2 linked regions of the Danio rerio genome follow. The protein of the gene in region 2 purifies or fractionates together with the protein of the main gene of each other region. This does not show direct contact. Links are inferred from orthologs where the notes say so. Each region holds a gene or a part of one and is shown on either strand. Other genes may lie near its edges.

Region 1 (3,833 bases), on a different chromosome or scaffold from region 2:
TGAAGCTATGCAGGGCTGAGCTTGGTCAGTACCTGGATGGGAGACCACATGGAAAAGCTAAGTTGTTGTTGGAAGTTGTGTTAGTGAGGCCAGCAGGGGGCGCTCAACCTGCGGTCTGTATGTGTCCTAATGCCCCAGGAAAGTAAAGGGGGCAATTTACTGTCAGTGGGTGCCGTCTTTCGGATGAGATGTTAACCAAGGCTCTGTGATCATTAAAAATCCCATGGCATTTTTCGTAAAGAGTGTAACCCTGGTGTCCTGGCCAAGTTCCTTGCATTGGCTCTTACTGGCCTCCCAATCATCCCCATCCACCAAATTGGCTCTATCACTGTCTCTCCATTCCACCTATGGCTGGTAAGTGGGGATTGCACTAGCGTCAATGTCCTGTGGCTGCCGTCGCATCATCCAAGTGGAGGCTGCACACTAGTAGTGTGGTAGAGACCCTCCACCCATGATTGTATTGCGCTTTGGGTGTATGGCCATACACAATAAATGCACTATATAAATACACATTACTTATTTAGTTACTTTTACAATATTACTGGCAACCAAATTGCCAGTGTTATTGCAAATTTTGCATCATTTTTTTACAGTGTTTAGAATGTCCAGTACTTGTCTTGTTTTTGTTTTACACACACACACACACACACACACACACGCACATTTACAAAGTTAAAACAGGCTCGGTTCTTTATGTTTATATATATATATAATATGAACATATTCATAGTAGAAAATATTTGTCAAATTTAGAAACAAATCATCAAAAATGTTGACAGTGGATGGCAACTTTAAAAAAAAAAAAACACTGGTGTGAAAAGAGTTTCAGCAGGTTGTAAGGCTTTTAAAGACATTTTAAAGACCATTATGATTGAGTTTTTTCACTTTTACAGGGCTAAATGCTAAGGAATTTTTTTTTCGAATAAGCCAGTTGGAAAAGATTTTCACTTGCCCTATCAAAAAAATTATTTTAATTTTATACATTAAATCATACATTAATAATAAAAATTACAATTTAAAAATAAAAATAAAGGCCAGGTCAGTATCCTCAGCTGTAAATATAGGGATAACTTTTAAGCAAATTTTATGGTGAGGAAAATAATTAAAAAATAAAAGTAACAAATAAAATGATAAATAAAAAAAAGTTTTATTGAGATTGATTGTTGGTGAACAAACATAAATGAACAAAAGAAAATTAAGACCTGTTAAGACCTACAACACAACATTTCAGTAGATTTAAGACTTTTTAAGGCCTAAAATTTAGTTGCTAAGATTTAGGACATTTTAAGACCCCACAGACACCCTGAGAAGAGTTCAAATGTTACCAAAGTCCACTTATTATGAGCAATGATTATTTGATGTTTTTTTTTTTACTTTATTTATTATTTATTTGTTTAAATGTATGATAATTATGATAATATTTTGACTTGTGGCTTATTATATAATGATTAACTTATAGAATTTAAAATATTTTTTAAGATATTCAAAATATCCTTGTATCCTTCTTTTTTATTATAAATTATTATTTATATATATATATATATATATATATTTTTTTTTTTTTTTTCAGTTTTTGTTTGTGTACTTGATGTTAAGTGTTGGTGTTTATTGTGTTAAAGGTGTCAATCTTGTTATGTGAGGCACCACTATGTCCGAATAAATTGCCCCAAAGGAATTAATAAAGCTTTAAATTATATATTAATCCATTAATTAATACAAATATAACTATTAATTTTCCCAGTGATGGGTTGCGGCTGGAAGGGCATCCGCTGCGTAAAAATGTGCTGAATAAGTTGGCGGTTCATTCCGCTGTGGTGGCCCCAGATAAATAAAGGGACTAAGCCGAAAAGAAAATTAATGAATGAATAAATAACTGTACATTTTTTGTTTATGTTAAAAATAAATGAACATAGCATTTTTTATTTGAATAATGTATTGTTAAATGCTGACAGTGACAATAACAATTAATAAATGGTTTATTATAGTATAATATAATAAAAAATAGAGAAGAAGTCCTGTTTGTCAATCATGTTAACTCACTTAATGTTACCAAAATGCTGTTTTACCCTTCAACCAATTAAAGAAGCAGGAGTTCAGTTCTCTCTTTATGACTAGCAGAGACTCACAACTTGGCAAACATGATTTTTCCCCAGACCACTTAAGAGATCAGTCGTAGCTGTCAAAGGCCCAACCGTTTGACAGCAGCTCAGGGAGGAATCGTTTGTGCTGATAAGAGCTGCATTTAATAGAGGAAATGGATGTGAAAGTGGAAGCTAGCCAACAGCAAGCAGACGTACCCGTGCAGGTGATGACCATGTCCATTTGACGAACCACTTCATTCAGCTTCACCACTCTAAAGCCGTCCATACTATAAAGGAAATAAAAAAACAAATAAAAATTAGCAGATGTGTTTAGATATTGCTGTGCAAAGAAGATTTTGAGTTCCTATTTGGTTTGCTGATATGCTGATATTATTTGTGGTAGATACTAAGAGAGACCAGTTTACACAAGTTATTTGATACAAAATTGTTATGTGTTACAGGGTAAACTGAATAAAGTATATTAACTAATAATTATCACCTTTATCACTGAATCACTGACTCAAATTATTCATTCCTAATTTCATTTAGGAACAAACCCTTGCAATGTTGCTGTGAGACACAAATGTTCGCTTCAGATTTGTTTGAGACTGTGTCTGAAATGTAACTCATGCAGTATTACTGTCTTGTTTGTTAAACTGTTGTATAAAACAAGAACATATTTGCAACTAACTAATAACTAGTAACTAATAACCTTAACTTTACCGAATTAGATTGTAATGGAATAATGTGCACCTTTTGTAAAGCTGCTTTGAAACAATAATTATTCTGAAAAGCACCATACAAATAAACTAGAATTGAATTGAATTGACTTGGAGTTGTTTCGAATACAAAGAGAAAATAATAGGCTATAGATTATTAGATTAGATTAACTGTTTAAACAAAGTATTTAAAATGTGTACACATAATTATGATTGCATTAATTAGTAATAAAGGCAAATGACACTATTGAGCTTGCCATCTGCATTTTTTAATTATTTAAAATTGTGTACCTTTTGTATTTAATTATTAATTAAAATAAATTATATTGGCTAAATATCAGCCACCCTGCTTTCCAATATTGACCTTCAGAAAAAAAAATATCGCATGACTACTAATTTCAATAACACCGCACTTGTGTTTAAATGTAGATTTCACTCATTCTTGAGGGTCTATTGGTCTTACCAGGCTTGAAGAGCACAGATCGGATCGATCTCCGTCACACACACTATTGCTCCAAGTGCTTTCAGAGCTGAACAACAACCTTTCCCCACCTATACCACGGTCAACACAGAAACACAGCCAAACACAGAAACGTCATTCCATTCTCTGTGCTTTTAGAAAATAATGTCTGTCTGTTTTGAGAAATTACAGCTACAGTACAGACACTACAGGTTTTTTTTTTGTCTAATTTAAAGAAAACACTCAAAATATGTGATTAAAATTTTTTTTATCACACTTAAAAATGTGTCTGTGGATGTCAATTACAATATATTTCCGTAAAGACTTTTTCTCAGAATTATTTTATTCTCCTCCACTGAGCCATCAATCTCAACTTCAGCGCAATTTGCAGTACACACAACAAACTTCACAATTGTAATCATCTGTATCCAGTACTCCAAATGTTTTTACAGATGGATATGTTTATACATAAACTACCTGATTATTAGAACATTTTATTCTACAAGATAAAAATCCATTAGTTACTGACAGTTGTACCATTAACTAGCATGGACTAAAATATTTTTTGCATTT
Region 2 (3,933 bases):
TATATTACCTTTATGTCTGATCAGCGTTTTATATTAACAGACAATGCACAGATATTGATGTTTCATAATGTTTTTACACTACATTATTTCAACCTAACAAGCTTATTTTCCTATGTTTACATTGCTCTATCTACATTAAATCTAAATCCCAAATATCAGAAATGACAACAGCTTGTTAAGATTTAATTAATGTCAGTGTTAATGTTACTGATTAATGCTCTTACTTGACAGAATTCATTCATTCATTCATTCATTTTCCTTCGGCTTTGTCCCTGGTTTATCAGGGGTTACCACAGCGGAATGAACCACCACTTACTTGACAGATTTATATATTTTTAATTCTAGGTGTTTTATGTTTGGTAAAATTATTTCCAATTGCATTTTTAGTGATTTTCAACTAACTACACTGTATTGTCTCAAATGGTGGATTTAGGGGTTTTTTACAGTGGCCGGGAAGTGCAAAACAACATTACAAAGTTTGAAACACTTTTACAAAGCTCGAGACAAATTTACATTTTGAAAAACATTTTTACTTATCATTAGACACAATTACATAGGAAAAACAATTTTACAAAGGACGAAACAAATTTACATTTTAGGAAACAAATTAACAAGACGCAAAACACTTTTACAAATCCCGAAACAAATTTACAATTACAGATTCCCTACGGAAAGGGAATGTACCACACCCCGGAAGTGACGTAGAATGTACCACACACCGGTATTGACCCGGAATGTAACACACACTGTGTGACTTTGTAGACAGGTTTCCACAAGTCTACAACTATAAAAATTATGGTTTGACTAACTGCGATAAAATAAATTAGAGCTATTCTGAGAAAATATCAGCGTGAGAGTGCATAAAAACATGGAAATGCAAGTCCATGGAAACATTTAAAGCACAGCACATGTTGACTGATAAAGATACCAAAACCAATCTCAACCTGTACACCGGAGTAGCTCAGTTGGATAAGTCGGTTGATACTCATGTAGAACCTATTGACTTGGGTTCAAATCCAGTTGATGACATGTCAATTATAATAATTTCTTTAGATTAATTTTGGTTTATGCTGTTCTGCCACACAAATATTAAATCAACAATGATACACTGACACCAAGTAATTAGAATCTTTATTCGGTATGGGCATGTTTTGTTGCTGTGAAAAAGTGACCAATCTGCTAATCTGCAAACGTGGATAGTTTGCACATCTGAAAAGGGGCCTCAGTTAACACGGACACCAGTTAAACCATAACACAGGCTTCCTTCAGTTTACCGTTAAGAGTCCTCAAGCAGAGGTTTACACCGTGTAGACTTGACATCATGTTCATAATTACAGCGTACCGAGGGGATCTCGTAAAAATATTAAACACATTGATGCAGCATGTCTGGCGTTTCGGTCTGGTCCGCGTCCTTTATAAACTCTAAACACCGACCACACGCAAAGCAAAACCGTGTTAAGTTGCACAAGTGTTTGCCACAAAACGGGCAAAACAACCCTCGACCGCAGTCCATGTTCGGTCACCATAAACTTTGTTTACGCCATGTACTCCACAGCGCGAATTTACCGCGCACACCAGCAACAACAACAACGTTCCCCCGCGTCACTACCGGTGTGTGGTACATTCTATGTCACTTCGGGGTGTGGTACATTCCCTTTCCGTAGGGAATCTGTAATTGTAAATTTGTTTCGGGATTTGTAAAAGTGTTTTGCGTCATGTTAATTTGTTTTCTAAAATGTACATTTGTTTTGTCCTTGGTAAAATTGTTTTTTTCTATGTAATTGTGTCTGATGATAGGTAAACATGTTTGTCAAAATGTAAATTTGTCTCGAGCTTTGTTAAAGTGTTTCAAACTTTAATGTTGTTTTGCACTTCCCGGCCACCGTATGTTTTGCTAAAAAAGCACTGGTGGATTTAGCTAGTTTTGATGCAAAAGAAAATTGACCTTGCTAAAAAAACTAATTTTGAAATGTTTAAAGTGACATTTTGAAACAAAAAGATATTGCATTTACTAGCTAATAACCCTATCGTTATCAATAAATGAAACTTCTGAACCCAATCAGAAGCCGGGTAGGAAATGTTCATTCACAAAAAAAAAAAAAAAAAAAAGAGGTCTGATGGATTTAGAGCAGGGATCAGCAAACTTGTTCCTGGAGGGCCGGTGTCCTGCAGATTTTACCTCCAACCCTAATCAAACACACCTTAACAAGCTAATCAAGGTCTTACTAGGTATACTTGAAACACCCAGGCAGGTGTGTTGAGGCAAGTTGGAGTTAAACCCTGCAGGCCACCGGACCTCCAGGAACGAGATTGGTGACCCCTTATTTAGAGGGTTTTGCATCTGAACTCTTCAATTGTTTACACATATTTTTGCGTGGTGTGTGTAAACATGATATTAACAGTAGAAGTGACCTTCAATTTAAATGTTACAATGATTTTACAAAATCCATGCCATGACCTCTTTCAGTTAAGTTACTGTAGTCGTGTGCACGCGCGCGCGCTCACCGCTTGCAGATGTCATCGGCGGTCTCTTTAGTGAAAACTCTCTCCTGAAGCACGTTGTTCAAGGCATGGATGGCGCACAGCTCCAGTCTCTGCTTCTCATGAAACACCTCGCCCTCGCTCATGCTCACCCTGCCATCACAAACACATTCAGACCGTCCATTAACATGTAATTACGGCCAAAAACACGTTATGTACTCGCGTTCCCGTAAGCTGACAGCACATGACTGGATACATCATCATCATCATCATCGTAAACATCATCATCTCACCTTCTGGAAGACTGAATCCGCAGTGCAACGATTTATCCACTGATGCTCCTGACACGTACCGCGAAACTGATCTTTACTGGTCCATTAAACATACAATATTAAGCTGTTATTAACGAAATCTGTTGCGGTCTGTGAAAGGGGAACGCCGCCTGTTTCTTGTCCGTGAGGATCAGCCGGAAGTTGTGTTGTTGTCGCGTTGAGGGAACGCCCCGTGCGATCATGCTGCAGTTCACACGGCCGCTCCATAGGGGGACCCTCATTTTACAAAAAAATATAATAAAGAATAATAAACGAATAAATAAAATATAAAATTACATAAAAAATGATCTTGTGTGAAAGTGGAAGCTGCTAAGGATTGGAACTCCATCCCACCAACAATTAGAAGACCACTCACTTTCCGTTCTTTTCAATCTCATGTTAAAAATTGGTTATTGGCAAATCAGCATTGTCAGCATTAGTACTGTATTCTTGACACATTTGTACTGTTGTCTTTGGCTTTTTGTCCTCTTCTGCTGCCATCAGTCTGTTCTTGTCTTTTTTACTTTAACTGTATTTTATATATGAAAGTTTATTTCATGTTTAATGCTGTGCTTCTATTTTAGGTGTGACTTTTTAACATTCCATAAGGGGTCTACACATTCTTGGCTAATTCTGGCACATTTTACAGTAATGTTTATTAATGTGCATTGACCCTGTAAACAAATTAACTAAACTAAACTAAACTAAACTAAACGAAACTTAACTAAATAATCAAATTGCAATGAAGGATACGAATATATAAAAGTCATCCAGGGATCAAAATAAAAACTCAAACCCTTTTTTTCAGTTTTAGACATTACTGTAAACTGTGTGCTAATAAACTGTATAAATGTCAAAAACATTAATGTTTTATTAATATTATTATTAGTTGTAGTAACCACTGCTACTACTACTACTGCTACTACTACTACTACTACTAATAATAATAATAATAATAATAATAATAATAGATTAATATTATATATGTTGGAGCTTTAAAAATCTTTTTTTATGTATATATCTTTGCATATTTTATTCCATATTACAGTGAACAAAACATTTTAAAATAATTGTACAAATGCTATTGAAAACTATTATTATTATTATTATTATTATTATTATTAATAGAAAATAAATTACA

The links.
Region 1: the proteins of josd2 (region 2) and ahcyl1 purify together in Homo sapiens (affinity purification with mass spectrometry; 4 studies listed by BioGRID and IntAct, counting the BioPlex papers as one, with this or other methods). This does not show direct contact. The link is inferred for Danio rerio from reciprocal best matches to the Homo sapiens genes JOSD2 and AHCYL1.

What each region holds. Positions count from the first base shown.
Region 1 is NC_133183.1:26,876,505-26,880,337, forward strand, and holds part of ahcyl1 (S-adenosylhomocysteine hydrolase-like protein 1), read right to left. Parts: intron 3,353-3,833; coding exon 3,264-3,352; intron 2,369-3,263; coding exon 2,298-2,368; intron 1-2,297. UniProt on the Homo sapiens protein: Multifaceted cellular regulator which coordinates several essential cellular functions including regulation of epithelial HCO3(-) and fluid secretion, mRNA processing and DNA replication.
Region 2 is NC_133191.1:14,041,460-14,045,392, reverse strand, and holds the start of josd2 (josephin-2), read right to left. Parts: upstream 2,957-3,933; 5' UTR 2,775-2,956; intron 2,635-2,774; 5' UTR 2,628-2,634; coding exon 2,506-2,627; intron 1-2,505. UniProt on the Homo sapiens protein: Cleaves 'Lys-63'-linked poly-ubiquitin chains, and with lesser efficiency 'Lys-48'-linked poly-ubiquitin chains (in vitro). May act as a deubiquitinating enzyme.